Linked DNA regions of Arabidopsis thaliana. The main gene of each other region encodes a partner of the protein of the gene in region 4 in a complex. Each region holds a gene or a part of one and is shown on either strand. Other genes may lie near its edges.

Region 1 (3,211 bases), on a different chromosome or scaffold from region 4:
GTGAATAATGATTGTGGAAAAACCCTCTTGGCTTTGGGAGAGTTCATGATTGTGGAAAGTGTATTGGCTTTGCAAGAGTTAGGATCTTATCTTGTTTGTTAATGACAATGCTAGTCAACAAAGGAAGGATTGGTGATCAGGTTCAAACCTATGGCTAACACCCACTTTGCTCATTGATGAATCAGGTCATGGCCTTGGACAAGCGGTACAGACTGGCAGAATCGAAAGACTATGAAGTGAAGGTCTCGTTTCTGCAACTTGCAGTCACATCCAAGTGCAGAGAGTACCATGGGGAAGTGAAGAAAACACTAAAAGAGGTAGGAAGGATGAAGTACCTGCGTCCACTCTTCACTGCTCTTGCACAATCTGGTGGAACAGAAGAGAAGCAGCTGGCAAAACAGGTGTTTGCAGAAGCTCGAGAAACTTATCACCCCATAGCTCAGGGAGTTGTTGAATCTATCCTCTCTAAGTACATCTAAACAAGACCGTTATGATAGCTTGAGAGCACTCCGAAAAACAACATTTCAATAAAACTCAGTCACTGTAATAACAATTGGTGCTTGAGAGAGTCATAAACAAAAAATTGAATTGCCTTTTGTTGCGTACATTACATTCTCCAAAAGATTAGTACAAGCTTAACTATGCATTACTCTCATCTTCCAACTTCTTAATGTAAGCCATAAGCACCATTATAACCTCTCTTGCTGGTGCTTGTAAAGTAGTGACGAGATTAATAGCCGGAGATTGCAGAGCACCGAGCATCTTAGCGTAGACCTCAGCACGAGTGGGCATGGTCTCGAGGACTTTGAAATTGTCAGGAGCGTAGAACTTACCTTCGAAGACAGCGCCGGCAAAGTCATTGTTTTCAAGCTTGCGTTCCTTCTGGAAGCTCCGGTAGGGTTTGATAGCAGAAGGGATTTCATCGGTCTGGACGAAAAGCCAAGCGTTCATGCCTTTCATACAAGGCTTGAGAGCTTCCCATTTGGTGCCTTCAATGGCTTTGAAGACCAAAGTGTTCTTGGCGACGATGAGCTTTGTAGTGTCGGGGAGAGTTCTCCGGAGGTCTTGAAACTGCTTGACGGTGAGGCCTTTGTAGTTGATGGCGGCGAGGAGATGGCAGTTCTCCAAGTGAGACTTGACGGCTTCGACAGTCTCTTCCTTCTTGTTACGAGACACCGCGGATCTGATGACCGGGAGGCGAGGGTAATTTGGGGAATTCGAGGTTTTGGGTGTGAGAGTTGAGATTCGCTGGTGACAGAGAGGAGACAAGGAAGAAGAGAAGGAGAGAAGAGCCACTTCCATTTTTTTGCTCAGAAGATGAGGAGACTGTTTCTAGCTGTGTGGAGGAAGAAGATAGATGAACAACAACACAATCCTCCACTAAGCAATTTTATTTTTTTATTTTTCTTAAATGGAAAATAAAATTTATGGATAAAAAAAGGGTTAATAGACGGAATTAGTAACTCCGTCTAATTTAACGCATTGTGTCTTTTAGTCTCTGCTTCTGAATTCTGAACGCAATCCATTGGTAAACTAATCAAATAACTAGACCCAAAATAATTCTATTTTCTTTCTCGGAATTATGGAAGATGTCTCGTCTCGTGTCAAACAAATAATTTTGTAATTTACTACTCAAGTTCATAATTTAACCATTACAAGAAAAAACAGACAAGAAGGGAAGTAAAGGGAGAAGGAAAAAAAAATTAGGCAAAATATTGTTGCTGTATGGATTTGTCCCTATGGTTTGTGTTTTGTGTGTGGATGTGAGTTAGAGAGTGTCCCAATTAGGGATAGTCGCAGTAGCTTCATTCACCATCTTCACAAGTGTCACCTGCACCATCACACAATATGTTATTAAGGACAGTCATTCAATATTACGGTTCTCACTCTCACACTTGATTGACCACAAGCAAAACCGTAACTCCTGAAGATATTACAACTACTTCTAACAGACTTATGCATATCATCTCCCCGGAAAGTAAAACCATTGCAAATTCACAAACTACATCAAACTATGGACGACCATTTGTGTATGACGTTGCTATTTAGTCTCCGGAATCCACTAAACCAATGGACATGATACAAATAAGTTCCCCTTTGAGCTATGAATGGACCTTACTGCAGTATCTTGTTTTAAGCACGATCAGATTATAGAGGTTTATATATAACATACCACACTTTCGGGAACACCGGGAGGCGGCAAGGACATGTTCCTTGGAGGAGGACCCCGCAAATGTGATCTCTTATCGAATCGCCACTCTCCTATTTTGCCATATGTCAGCTCCCCCTGTATTTAACAGTCAGCAAAACTTAGTAGTGACTAAAAAGAGAACCTAATGACCTTAAGTAAAAACAAATGACCACAAGATGTGAAATCTGTTCCTAATTTATCAGCCAAAAATTAAAATTAAACAATCGTGTCAAACAGAAAATCACCTTCATGTTGTAGTCGCATCCATAAGTGTAATGAATGATAAACTTCCCCTTGGTAGACAAATCCCACGGAGGCTGAAAGATATTGTGAGAGAACTTAGGAATATGGAGCAGAGAAACAACTTTTGTAACTTTGACAAAACAAAAGTATCTTCGACATAGAATATGTTATCACTAAGGTATCAGCACAAGGTCGATTCTTACCTGAAGCATGAAATCCTTCCGAAGTATGTGACGCACCCCATGTATAGCAGATGCAATTGCGTAACCGTACCTTATCAAACAGAAAAGAGAAGAATAAAGTAGTCAGTTAACAATGATGGGATTCAAAAGGTGGAGAGCCAATTCATGATTTAAGATTCTTGTTTCTTGTGCTAACATTTCCAGCACCCATCCAAATGCCTTATCAGTTTCTGGATCGTTTTTCATTGTCAGCGAGACATTCATCCATGTAGGAGCAATCTTTTCAAGTGATTCCTGCATCAGAAAGTAAATGCATGTCAACATCAATTTTAATGCATGAACAGAACAAACAGAACATATTCCTGGACACCAACATCACATCTAGCTAAACGCCTCTGAAAATCTTTGGGGCCCAAGTCAAATAACACATATACAAACAGTATAGCACAGATAATCTCACCTTGCTTATGATAACAGGAGAGTTGCCAATGGGGTCGATATTTGTTACTGGCCCCATCTCCGCTGGATAATACTTTCTGACTATGTTTTCATACTTTTCAGGAGTAATATAGAAAAACGGAAAAGCGGCTGGGAA
Region 2 (4,451 bases), on a different chromosome or scaffold from region 4:
GTACATACAATGATCCCATGAGCTCCTCTGTAGTAGCTGCTAGTGATTGTCCTGAAACGTTCTTGGCCTGCTGTGTCCCACTGTATACACAGGCGATTACCAAAACAAGAGTAACTATCTGCTCTTTCCAAAATTTTAACAGATTATGATTGCATATCTAGCTGAAGAACACTTACGATCTGGAGTTTGATGGTCTTTCCGTCCTGCTCAACTGTGCGAATTTTCTGCATGATATCATTAGTAAAGGTTAACACTTATTATTCTGATTCCTGTATATAAATGAGTGATGAGCAAATGAAGGTGCTTACAAAGTCAACACCAATGGTGCTTATGTAGCTATCCAGGTAAGAATCATCCTGTCCACATAAAATTCAAGATATCAGGAAATAAGAACACAAAGGAGTAACAATGATACCATAGTGAGAACTAAGCTAATCCAATGGAGTAATGACTTTTGAGTTTTGAGTCTTGAGCAACAGGTATTGAACTCCAAGATGTGATCCTCAAATTTTTGTGTGTACACAATGTTAAAAAGTAACTACCAGAGATGATGAATCCAGAATTGTGGGAATACTTACAGCAAATCTTAGAAGCAAGCATGATTTTCCAACACCAGAATCACCAATAAGCAGAAGCTTGAACAGATAGTCACTGCAACAACAGAACGGTAAACACCAATCTCAGTGAAGCTCATAAACTCATGAAAATTCGGGTCAGGAAATAAAAACGCAAGAACATCTATATACAATATGCTAATGAGATCAAAGGGAAAATTGTGTCACACTCGCGAATTTCAACTACAACAGTAAACAGAAATTGCAGATCTCGATCAAATTTCCTCGGATCTGACCTGTATAAGATCCATGGAACGAAAATCCAAATCTATACAAAATTCTAATACAAAATACCTTAAACGAGCAAAATTAGGTAGATTCAATTCACAAACCTAACAACCAACAAAGATCCAAAGCAAAATCGAACAAAAACCAAATCACCAAACACATCAAAAAATAAAAAACGCGGATCGATCCGAAACAATAGATACATGAAACAACGAGAAGACAAGTTTCTTACTATTCAGGATTCATTATCCCTCAACGAGAATCTGACGATTAAAGGAATCTCCGGCAGTCAATTCAGCGATCGTCGTCGGCCAAAAAAACGAGAGAGACGTGAATGTTCTTTTTTTTTTCTTCTATGTGGCTTTGGCTTATTAAGTGCTCTTTTTGTCAATGACACGGTTAAGAAAAAAGAAAAAAAGGGACCCACTCTTTTCGACATTTAAATGCGTTTTGGTTTTGATGTTTGAATGCTGACGTGGCCGAGCCAACTCAGAGAGATGCGTGGAGGACAAAAGAATCAATCAATCTTTTTTCTTCTTCTTTGTCGATTTTTGTTCTTTTCTTTTTTGATTCTATACAATCGGAGAATAACTATCTTTAGGAGATTAAAATTTCGTATCCAATTAATGTAACTTTTTATATGTATGCTAATATTACGTACTGTTGTCAAGCTTTTAATTAAACCACCTGTAAGAGAATATATATTCGTTTCACAAAGAAAGAAGATGGAATATTTTGATTATTATCTTTTTGGTATTCTGATTAAACTAACATATAATAGCTTTTCATCGCTTGCGGTGTAAGTCAATGTAACGTGAACATGTAGACGACTTGAATATACAACATAGTCACATAGAATAATATTTCAACTCCAGCAGAAATTTATTCGTCAATCATAACTTTTAAAAGGCCCAAAGTAGATTATTTAGAGCTATCAATTTAAGGACACATAAACATACATTTGTTTGTAACAGAAACTCTTTATTTAAACCATTTTTGGTTCTACATTAGTGTACTTGGACAAGCCTTGGTTCGTGGTGGTAGACTGGTAGAACCAGCTTTGGTAATGGGTTTCTTGTTATATCAATTGAATATGGGCCTAAATGTCTAGGCCCATAAAATTAGTAAATGGCCCATAAATTGAAATACACGGAGCGGATAAGCGATAAGGCTCTTCTTTACTCTGGTTTCGAGTTTGGGTTGTGCAAACATGGCGACGAGCTCTCATCTTCTTCCTCAGGTTCTTCTTCTTCACTCTCTCACGCTCAATCACATTTTCATACTTATGCTTCTTTGAATTCTGTATTTATCTACCATTTATGGAACCAGGCATTGCATATGATACCGAGAACCCCTTCTTTCTCGTCGAAGAATTTAGGGGTTTCTTCAATTCTACCACGAGCATCATCAGTGAACTCAAGACTATCAGTTTCTAGGGTTTTTCTCAATCATTCGAGCTCCAATTTTGGTTTCGCCATCGATTCCAAGAAGAGAAAAGAGTTTATCGCTAAAGCTGAAGAGAGTACTGAAGGTGAAACTGAGGCTGTTGTGGAGAATGCTGTTGAAACTGAAGCGGAAGGAGAAGGAGAAGCCACTGTTGCGGCGGAGGAAGCTAAACCTCCGTGGAAGACGAGAGTCAAGCTCGGAGATATCATGGGGGTTAGTTCATTATCCAATGTGATTCTATGAGATTGTCTAGTGTTTTGTTTTGGCTCTGAATCTGATTATACATGTCTGATACTGTAGTTGTTTTGGCTCCTGTTCTTAAATCATCAGTTATCTTTTAGGCATTGGAGAAATGAAATGTTGATTTGCTTTTTGTTTCTGTAGCTACTGAACAAGAAAGCTATTGAGGTTGCAGAGACTGTAAGACCGGTTCCTGGACTTAGGACTGGGGATATTGTAGAAATCAAACTGGTAAAACTCATTGTCCCCGTATAATCTTATGCAATTTATGCATTTAACTGCAAGATTTTGATACGACATGGTGGGTTTGATTTTACAGGAAGTTCCTGAGAACAAACGTAGGCTATCTATCTACAAAGGTATTGTGATGTCTAGACAAAATGCAGGCATCCACACTACTATCCGTATCCGGAGGATTATTGCAGGCATTGGTGTTGAAATCGTCTTTCCCATGTAAGTTTATTCTTCCTTAACTATCCTATTATCACACACTTACTCGGGTATATTGATAAGTATAAATGTAAATAGTATTAGATAGTCAGAGTTAAGGGTCTTTGACCTTGTTAAGGAGTCTTTTGGCTTTGAGAGAGATTTTAGGAACTCTAAAACAAACCGGAATTAGCTTCTTTTATCGTGAACAGTCATAGTCTTCGCTTCTTGAGAACTTAAGAGATTTACAATTCTATATCTGATCATATGTATTAGCTTTCTTCACGAAAAAAGGAAATAATTGCTACTCCAAGTATGATACTATAGGAACTAGTACATAAATGCTGGAAGTCTTAGCATTATAGGTCACCAAGCTTTGTGCTTATTTACTACAGAAACGCGCACCAACCTTTAATCTTAATCACTCTAGAGTCTAGCCGTTATCATAACATACTAGTCCCTATGAACTTTCCAGTACTATTGGCTGATTCTACAATGAAGTAATATGTAACTGATATGTTTTGATCTTGAACAGATACTAATCTACACAATCAAGTAATATGTTTTGATCTTGGTTTAGAATATGTATCTGATGTGATGTGTGTTTTGAATTTAACAGATACTCTCCCAACATAAAGGAGATAAAAGTGGTAAGTCACAGGAAAGTGAGAAGAGCAAGACTTTACTATCTGAGGGACAAACTTCCTCGTCTCTCAACTTTTAAATGATCACCAAACCCAACACCAGTCTTGTCTTGTGTTGTCTTCAATCTCCAAAGGTAGCTAGCTACTCTCTTTTCTCTTGTAATAATTGTTTGTTTGTTTCGTCTTTTGGATTTCATTTCTTTTCATGTAATTTACAGTAACAGTAATTTAAGAAAAGTAAATCAATGTTGATTGTTTTGATCTTGAGTATGTAGAATCTGGACCCTTTAGTATTCTTTTTCAGAAATATGACTGATTTAATCATTAAAATAAAACTTTTGAATCATTGAAATTGCTTTTCAAAATAGATTTTTTACATGTAAAATCATGTAATTCATTCATGTAAATGAATTTTCCAGCTAAAGCAGGAAAAAAGAAACGAATGATTGAGTATTTTTCTTGTCTCTTTCCTCTGTATGATGACTTTTATGTCCGATAATTAATTACTTGCTAACAATCAATCATTAATGGACACGGAGAAATAAATTTAAAATATCATCAATCGTGAGAGACGAAAAATGGCCTACCACCCTGAAAGCTCATTATAGCCTTTTTAGCCACTATATAAAATCAAACACCAATCAATATCTGCCACGTCATCATCCTCTTTTTTCCAGCCTGTCGCTTTTAACCTTTGTTTTTTCGTCTCTTACAATGCACAACTGTTTTCACACGTGTCACATTTTTCCCTCTCTTCTCTCTCTTTCGCTCTTTCTTCTTCCCCGCAGTTCCCGGAGACGACGCCGGAGGAAAATCGTACGGAAACTTTGCTTCGACTTCACGTGGCCGC
Region 3 (4,081 bases), about 18 Mb from region 4:
TTCTCTATACGGCGGAGCTGATCCGTATAGATCTAGGTATATTTCTAATATTATCAGTTTCTCCTTTTCTGAAATCGATTCTGGATAGAGAAAACGGGTCCTAGATTTGGTGAATTCTGCGTAAAGTACAAGTATTTATCTTTGGTGTGTGATTTGTAGAGAAGGGCTAAGCACTAGAAATGCTTCAGGTTCAGAGGAAATTCAGCTGAGGATTGATCCTATGCACTCTGACCTGGATGATGAGATTCTAGGTCTCCATGGCCAAGTCAGGCAATTGAAAAATGTAAGAAACCCTCTAAATCCCATTTCGATCTTTCTACTTTTTATCTATAGTGCCATTTGTATTGTCTTCTTGTGGTTCTGAAGGATCATTGTTCTCTTTAAGCTTTAAGTTGATCATATGAATTTGGAAATTTGTCTTCTTTTCGGTTTTGACAGTGGTTAGAGCTTGGTTAATTAGTTGTGTAGGTGTTTTTTTGTTCAGGGTACTATGATAATGTTATTGTTCACAATACTTATCAGTCAGTCCACGATTAATTAGTTGAATCCACTTGTCTGATGTCTTTTGTATACATCTGTGGTTATTGTTTTATATCACCACCCTTCTTGAAGGAATCAGTCGACATTCTCTACAATTCCTTGTGTTTTACCTTGCACTTTTGCGCATTATTTATCCCTCATGATTTTTTGTTATATCGTTGATCGCTTATTTTGATGCAGATTGCTCAAGAAATTGGGTCAGAAGCAAAGTCTCAGAGGGACTTCTTAGATGAACTGGTATGTTGTTGATGTCCCTTTAGTTTTTTCTTTATCCATCATAGTAAATTGCAATGTAAGCACTTAACATCAGTAACATGCATTCATTTACTCTTCTTTACCTTTAAGATGAATCACTGATTATATATAGTATATCCGAATATCGGTTTCCTATAACTTGTTTCAGATGTCTCTGTTCATTATTAGTTGGGAAAATATAGTTTCATCCTAACATATGTTAGATAACTTTAACCGTAGCTTACAAAACCAATGAATCTTGATAAATCCAAAGTGTAGATTATGTTTACTTAGGATCTGGTCTGAACGCTGGTGGTGGGTAGGATTAGATATCTTCAATCTCACCTAGTTTGGTGAAATGCAGCAGGAAATGGTTACAGCTTATCATTGAGTTCCTGCCACTTTGTCAATGAGAATGTTGGTGTTGAATGTGTTCATTGCTTTTAGTTCGTTCTAGTTTTTTCTTTTGTTACCTAGAAGAACATCCTAGAGAAGATAATGACAAACAACTAGATTTGGTAGTGAGACTGCAGAAACAAGCATTTAGTGCTGTTATAAGCAAAATAAAATAAGTAGACGAAATGTTGTTCTTGTCTGAAACATAAAACGCTTCAATGGTATTTTGTTTTTGTTTGTGACAGCAAATGACATTGATCAGAGCGCAAGCAGGGGTGAAGAACAACATAAGGAAACTGAACCTAAGCATAATCCGTAGTGGTAACAACCACATAATGCACGTAGTTCTTTTCGCGCTCCTCCTCTTCTTTATCCTCTACATGTGGTCCAAGATGTTCAAAAGATAGATAGAGAGACTCATGGCATACTTGTGTTACCCCCCAAAAAAAAACCCTTGATGAATGTTGGATAAGTTGTAGAAAATATCCTCTAGATTACAAACATTTTGTGGTTCTTCTCGTTACCTGTTATATAGAGTGCCTGTTTTTAACAGTTTACATGAAGCAAAATTGTATCACAGAACAACAGCATGAGATATTTTAGACCAGTTCAAATCTGGCCTTAACTTGATTAATTACCCGTCCGGTCCAATTCAGTATTGGGCTTTTATAGTCTTATGGGCTGAAGTGTCGTGATACGTGTATTATTATGGTTGGTTCTTATGCGTAAGTTTATGGTGGTATCGTCCGTAGACGATAGAGGTTCCACACTATGTAAAGGAGACCGGAGAAACAAAGGAACTGGGTTTGGAGATAAGAAGTGGGAACTTGAATGGCTTCCTTATCCACTTCCGTTGTAGCTTCGGCTTCGTCGCGTTTATGGAATCCTGCTGCCTCCAACGGCAAGATTTGCGTTCCTTCTGCTTCGCTTTCTCTGCGTACGGGTTGTAGACGGAGTTCGTCCTCTCTCACTTCTTCCGCTTCTTCGCAATTGCTTCATTGCTCGTTTCTCTCGTCGCCTGTTTCCCTAGCGTCTCCATTTTCTGGTACATCTTAAATTGGTTCGAATTATTGTTTGTGTTTAGCTTCTGGTGATGTAATGTATCAAGTTCTTTTACCCAATTTTGATTTTTTTTTCTGGTTCTTTGGGTTTGGTTGATTTATCACTATTCTCGTGTGTTAGGCTCTAGCTTACTTTGCAAACACATATATTCGAAGCTTTTTTAGAAGAATTTGGGAATTGTGAAACATAGTTGTCAATGGTGAATTCGATTTGGGAGTGTGAGTGAAAGAAGCCATTTTGTTTGTTTCTGATATTTCTTGTTAAGTTTATAACAACAAGTGAAGATAACATTTTGCAACTTAAGCCTCAATTTCTGATATCTTAGCTCATGTATTTGTAGCCGCAAGTAAATGTTGTTTGATTTTTAGTACAAAAATCTTTTAGCTCATGTCGATTATTTAGGTACAATGGTTATAGATTTGCTTCAATATGTCACATGAACTTGTTCCTCCTCCTTTGATCATAATTTTCTTGTAAAGTATATTGTACGACCATTGTAGCTAGGCTAAGATTTGAGCAGTGAATTATAAGCTTTGCCAATTTAGCAACAGACGTTATGGTTATAGCTCAAGAGTTAAAAGGGTAACCTAGGAGAATGCATTAAAGTCATTTTGGATTTGTCTGGGTCTTGATTCTGAGCAGTGTGTTGAGAGTTTGGTATTGTATGGTGAGTTCTTTGGGTAATTAAAGGAAGGAGTTTACCGGTTCCAATATTATCAGCTTGATACACTATCAAACCTATAATGTCACATTGATCAAAATGGTGTTGCTGTCTTTTCAGGTTTGTCCATTGCGTTTGATCTCAGCAGTCAAACTAGTGGACTGAATGGCCAGAGACGCAGAGGCCTTGTGGTTAGAGCTGGAAAAGCTGCTCTGTGTCAAACTAAGAGAAGCAGATCAAGAAAATCTCTAGCTAGGACTCATGGTTTCCGTAGAAGGATGAGGACCACTAGCGGTAGAGCAACCATAAAGCGTCGACGTGCCAAGGGACGTTGGAACCTCTGTCCCAAGTCCAACCCTAGCAGCGGCAAACGGGCTTGAAGTTTGTTTCTCTCTTCACTCTATCTGTAATCTTGTTTCATGTGCTTTTTTTCCACCAGAAGATACAATGAGAAACATGGTTCGTTGAGCTCTTTTCTGCGTTTTAACTCTCTTGCATCCTTGATTCGTTTATAAATCAATGTTCTTGGAATTCATCACATGTACTACTATACTACTTGCTTCATTGAATTTGTTACTACTCGAAGTCTCAACTTCAAAGCCATAATTACTTAAAGATCTCTTCTGGCCACCAGGATAATTCTGGTGTGTAAGAATTGTTCAGATTCCAAGTAGTGTTAATGGTTGCTGAAAGTTGATGTATATAGTTTGGGGTTCAATCCCTGAAGGATTTTACTTTCATTTACTAGTTTTATTTCAACCTAACAATTACTTTTAAGTACTAACCCTAAATTATATTCCCCTTAAAAAGAAAACTGCACCAAAAACAAACTAGTTAAGAAAAATGAAACCAAAACTAAAAAAGAAAAGTTCCTTCTTATTGGAAATTAGGGAGGGATCAGATTGTGTAAAAAAGAGAGCGCCCAATAGTCGTAACAGGCTTTGGGCGGAACGCTCTTCTCGCAATATAAGCGAGTTTTTACCATTCATCATATCCCCTTTAACTTGCCTGAAGGATCATGCCTTTTACGTAATTAGCTCTTTCTTTTTTATAGGCATGTTACTACCATCACTATCTCTACCTAAACGATGTGGGACAAAATAAACTATTCTCTTGTTTGAAATAAGGTTTCTTATCTCAAATTCATATATCTTTGTTTTTTAAAGTGGGTCTATAAAAGGCCTCTGT
Region 4 (3,320 bases):
TTTTCCTTTTGAACTTCAGTGAAAACTTTGGTAGCTTAGTTAAGAAGCAGAAGACTCCAGCTGAGAGGAAATGGGCCTAAAATAGCCCACACATTCGACTGTCTTCAAATGGGCTTGAGACGGCCTGATATTGGTTTGGCTTGATATTGGTAAAACCTCTGATTGAGCTGGAGTATTCTGTTTCTGTTCAATATTGGTCACACAAATTCAGTAGTAGTATACAATTGGGCATGATCACAGAATCTTCAACTTCAAGTGCCAAAAATTTTCTTTTATGTTCTCAAGCAAAACATACTCCTACGCCATGGCCACAGTTCAAGAATCTGCTCACTATTAGTACGCCACTTCGTCGTCAGAAGACAAATGTTTTGCCTGATAACTTCAGCAGACACTTACATAGACCATGATCATCATGTTCAACATCTTATAAATCTATGTAAAAATGATCTCAATCAACTAATCAACACACCACTTACACATCAACAACAACTACCTACACTAGTCATTAATCTCATGCCATAACTTTCCAAGATTATCACAAAATGTGGCAAAAGCCACAACCTTTCTTTCATTTGCAATTACCATTTCATAGGCATTGTTGCTATGTTTCTCTCACCAGTGTATATCTATCTATTATCCATCACAAATTCATGCCAAACTCACAAGCTAAAGATTTGTCCTTGAGATTCGCTACTACTTGTATCATTGCTCTGAGATCCTAGTCTCACTCTCAATGAAACCAAATAGATCTTAAAGAAAGCATAACCAATAGCATTCAGAAGAAAATTCACATACAATTTTTAACAGCCTAAGCAGTATCTCGACTTCAATTGAAAAGACAACAAATTCAAAGACATAAGCTTTACCAGAAAAGACTCATCATTTCTTCTTCCCTTTGGGACCTTTACTTTTCTTAGTAGGCATAATGATTTCTCCTTTAAGCACAGGAATCTCCATAATCTCAGAAAGCCCAGCGAACCTCTTACGAAACTTCTCAACTTGATCAGCATCAACCATCAAAGCCGAACGATTCCCGAGGTAAAACGGATGGTTACCTGACCATACATCAACCACATACTCTTTCTTTGTTCCTCCTGTAGTCATCACCAGCTCTCCATTGCAGTAAACCTTTGCGTCTTCGTGGAATTCAGGATGCAATTCCTTCTTACGACACGTTATCTGAACCACCGTATTGCTGCTTCTTCTCACCGATTGTTTTCCTCCTTTCACTGCCGCCATCACCGGCTAATTTTGAAAAAAAAACACAAACAAATTTAGTGATTTTGGGGAAGGAGGAGAAATAGACGAAGAATGAGAAATCGATTTCGAGCTTACCTTTCTTAATTGCAGAGAAGGAACACATGGGCTAATCTGAAGAAACGAGTTCGGGAGAGAAACCGCCATTTTTGTCTTCAGGAGCTATCTTCTTCTTTTTTCCTGGTGATAGAGAAGAAACGAAGTAACGATTGATGGATAAGAGAATGAGGATGATGAAGTGTATTGGAGTTACGTTTATAACCCTAAATACTTTGAAGATATGTAAGGGTAATATGGTAATTTACATAGAGACTTCCTTTTGTTCTGTTGATACACTCTTCGTCAATCTAACGCTTCTTCATTTTTCTCGAGAGAAGCAAAACTACATATATATATACGCACATACGTACACAGTTCGAAGGTTTTAGCTGCGAGTATGAGGAAGGAACTGTGTAGAAACTTTCAGCGTGGCAGGTAAATACTCTTTTCATCATCATCATCTTCTTCTTCATCTGTTCTAGTTTTTGTTTTGATTCAATTTGTTGTTTTATAAGAGTTTTTGAAGTTTGTTTCGATTGCTGAAGTTTAGGTTTCGTGTTCTATATTCTGGGGTTTAATTTGAAATCAATCGATGTGCGAAGGTGGTAATGTGTTAGAAAACGATGTCTATTGAGCTGAAATCTAAATGAATCATACAGTTTATTGACTTTGATAGATTCTAATCTTCGTTTCCGCCATTAATGAGGGTTGATTTGCTTCGGAAGTTATGATTAGTGATAGTAGAAGCTTAGAGACGTAATTATTGGACTCATCGTCCTTTGTGCTGTTTTTGCAGTTGTAGGTATGGGGAAAACTGTAGATTTCTTCATCCACAACAAGCTAAGCCAAATAATCCCTTTGGCTTTGGTACACAAAACCAACAACAACAACAGCAGCAGCAGCAACAAAATAGTTCGAACCCTTTTGGATTTGGTGTACAAAGTGGTGGTTCCAGCAGACCGAATCAGTTCCAGGTCAATTTGTTTTTTTCCTCTTTTAAGATGCAAGTATTGCTTTGATAGAATGCAAGTTATCGTTCGGCTTTGGATGAGAAAAATGGTGCATCTTCTTTAAGAAACGAAAGCATTTTGCCTGTTGAATGAATGGTGACATGATGATGCTTTTGCAAATCAGAATACTTGGTCACGAACGGCTTCTACACCTACTGGTGGTGGTGCTGCTGCTTCTACACAGCAGACTGGTAAACAGACGCAGCCGGCAGATCATAAGTGAGTGTATATATGTTTACATATGCTTGTTCTATCAATTATCATCCTTTTAGCCGTTTGTTTCTTTGGAAATTTACTGTTTCTCTCTTGGTTACTATACAAAGATGCACAGATCCTGCTGCGTGTAAGCGGGTAATGCAAGACGATTTTAAGAATGAGAGACCCATGTGGAAGCTCACATGCTACGGCCACTGGAAATAGTATGTATTACTTCATTTGGTTTAGCATCCTTGATCTTTATCCATTCTTTATAAACGTGTCTGATTTTTTCTATCTTTTTTTTCTTCTAGTTTTCCATGTGATGTTACCGGTGATATCAGCTATGAAGAACTACGTGCAGTGGCATATGAAGAAGCTAAACGAGGAATACCTCTACAGTCGATTGTGAGATTAACCTTTCTTGTGTTTGTTATACTTTACACTGGTTTTCATTTCATACTGATAAGACATAAGTTGATTTCCTCTTTTCCTGGCTTATTATGGTGCATTATATAGGTTGAAAGGGAGAGGAATCTGCAAAATTCCAAAATAGCCGAGTTTGAAAACTTTCTACGGAATCCATACAAAGGCTCTGTTACCGCCAATCAAAGCCCGTTTGCTGCAACCACTCCTAGTATCTTCCCTCAGTCCAGTCAGATCAATTCCCCTTCTCCAGCATTCTCTGGCTTTAATCAACAAACTGCATTCTCCAATACCAATGCGGGTGGACTCAGGTATCAACTTTTGTGGGATTTCTCCAATTTTCATATCCCAAAAAGTTTGTGTTGCCTTCAAACTAACTCTCGGTTTCCATTT

The links.
Region 1: emb2184 (region 4) and EMB3136 share a complex: the UniProt entries of both Arabidopsis thaliana proteins name them as parts of the 50S ribosomal subunit.
Region 2: emb2184 (region 4) and AT5G47190 share a complex: the UniProt entries of both Arabidopsis thaliana proteins name them as parts of the 50S ribosomal subunit.
Region 3: emb2184 (region 4) and AT1G29070 share a complex: the UniProt entries of both Arabidopsis thaliana proteins name them as parts of the 50S ribosomal subunit.

Annotation. Positions count from the first base shown.
Region 1 is NC_003076.8:4,339,385-4,342,595, reverse strand, and holds EMB3136 (Ribosomal protein L10 family protein), read right to left. Parts: upstream 1,335-3,211; 5' UTR 1,303-1,334; coding exon 640-1,302; 3' UTR 501-639; downstream 1-500. Other genes in the region: AT5G13520 (peptidase M1 family protein), read left to right, coding at 186-479; AT5G13500 (Hyp O-arabinosyltransferase-like protein), read right to left, coding at 1,769-1,831, 2,174-2,287, 2,437-2,508, 2,638-2,707, 2,813-2,910, 3,077-3,211. UniProt on the Arabidopsis thaliana protein: This protein binds directly to 23S ribosomal RNA.
Region 2 is NC_003076.8:19,163,666-19,168,116, reverse strand, and holds AT5G47190 (Ribosomal protein L19 family protein), read left to right. Parts: upstream 1-1,981; 5' UTR 1,982-2,052; coding exon 2,053-2,082; intron 2,083-2,171; coding exon 2,172-2,501; intron 2,502-2,672; coding exon 2,673-2,759; intron 2,760-2,847; coding exon 2,848-2,981; intron 2,982-3,576; coding exon 3,577-3,685; 3' UTR 3,686-3,933; downstream 3,934-4,451. Other genes in the region: RAB1A (RAB GTPase homolog 1A), read right to left, coding at 9-80, 177-224, 309-356, 579-651, 1,075-1,088. UniProt on the Arabidopsis thaliana protein: Located at the 30S-50S ribosomal subunit interface and binds directly to 23S ribosomal RNA.
Region 3 is NC_003070.9:10,147,883-10,151,963, forward strand, and holds AT1G29070 (Ribosomal protein L34), read left to right. Parts: upstream 1-1,908; 5' UTR 1,909-2,001; coding exon 2,002-2,215; intron 2,216-3,013; coding exon 3,014-3,273; 3' UTR 3,274-3,525; downstream 3,526-4,081. Other genes in the region: AT1G29060 (Target SNARE coiled-coil domain protein), read left to right, coding at 1-36, 160-283, 721-777, 1,416-1,577. UniProt on the Arabidopsis thaliana protein: This protein binds directly to 23S ribosomal RNA.
Region 4 is NC_003070.9:28,270,247-28,273,566, reverse strand, and holds emb2184 (Ribosomal protein L31), read right to left. Parts: upstream 1,497-3,320; 5' UTR 1,405-1,496; coding exon 1,336-1,404; intron 1,246-1,335; coding exon 880-1,245; 3' UTR 558-879; downstream 1-557. Other genes in the region: AT1G75340 (Zinc finger C-x8-C-x5-C-x3-H type family protein), read left to right, coding at 1,694-1,731, 2,093-2,270, 2,431-2,525, 2,630-2,725, 2,816-2,909, 3,021-3,238. UniProt on the Arabidopsis thaliana protein: Binds the 23S rRNA.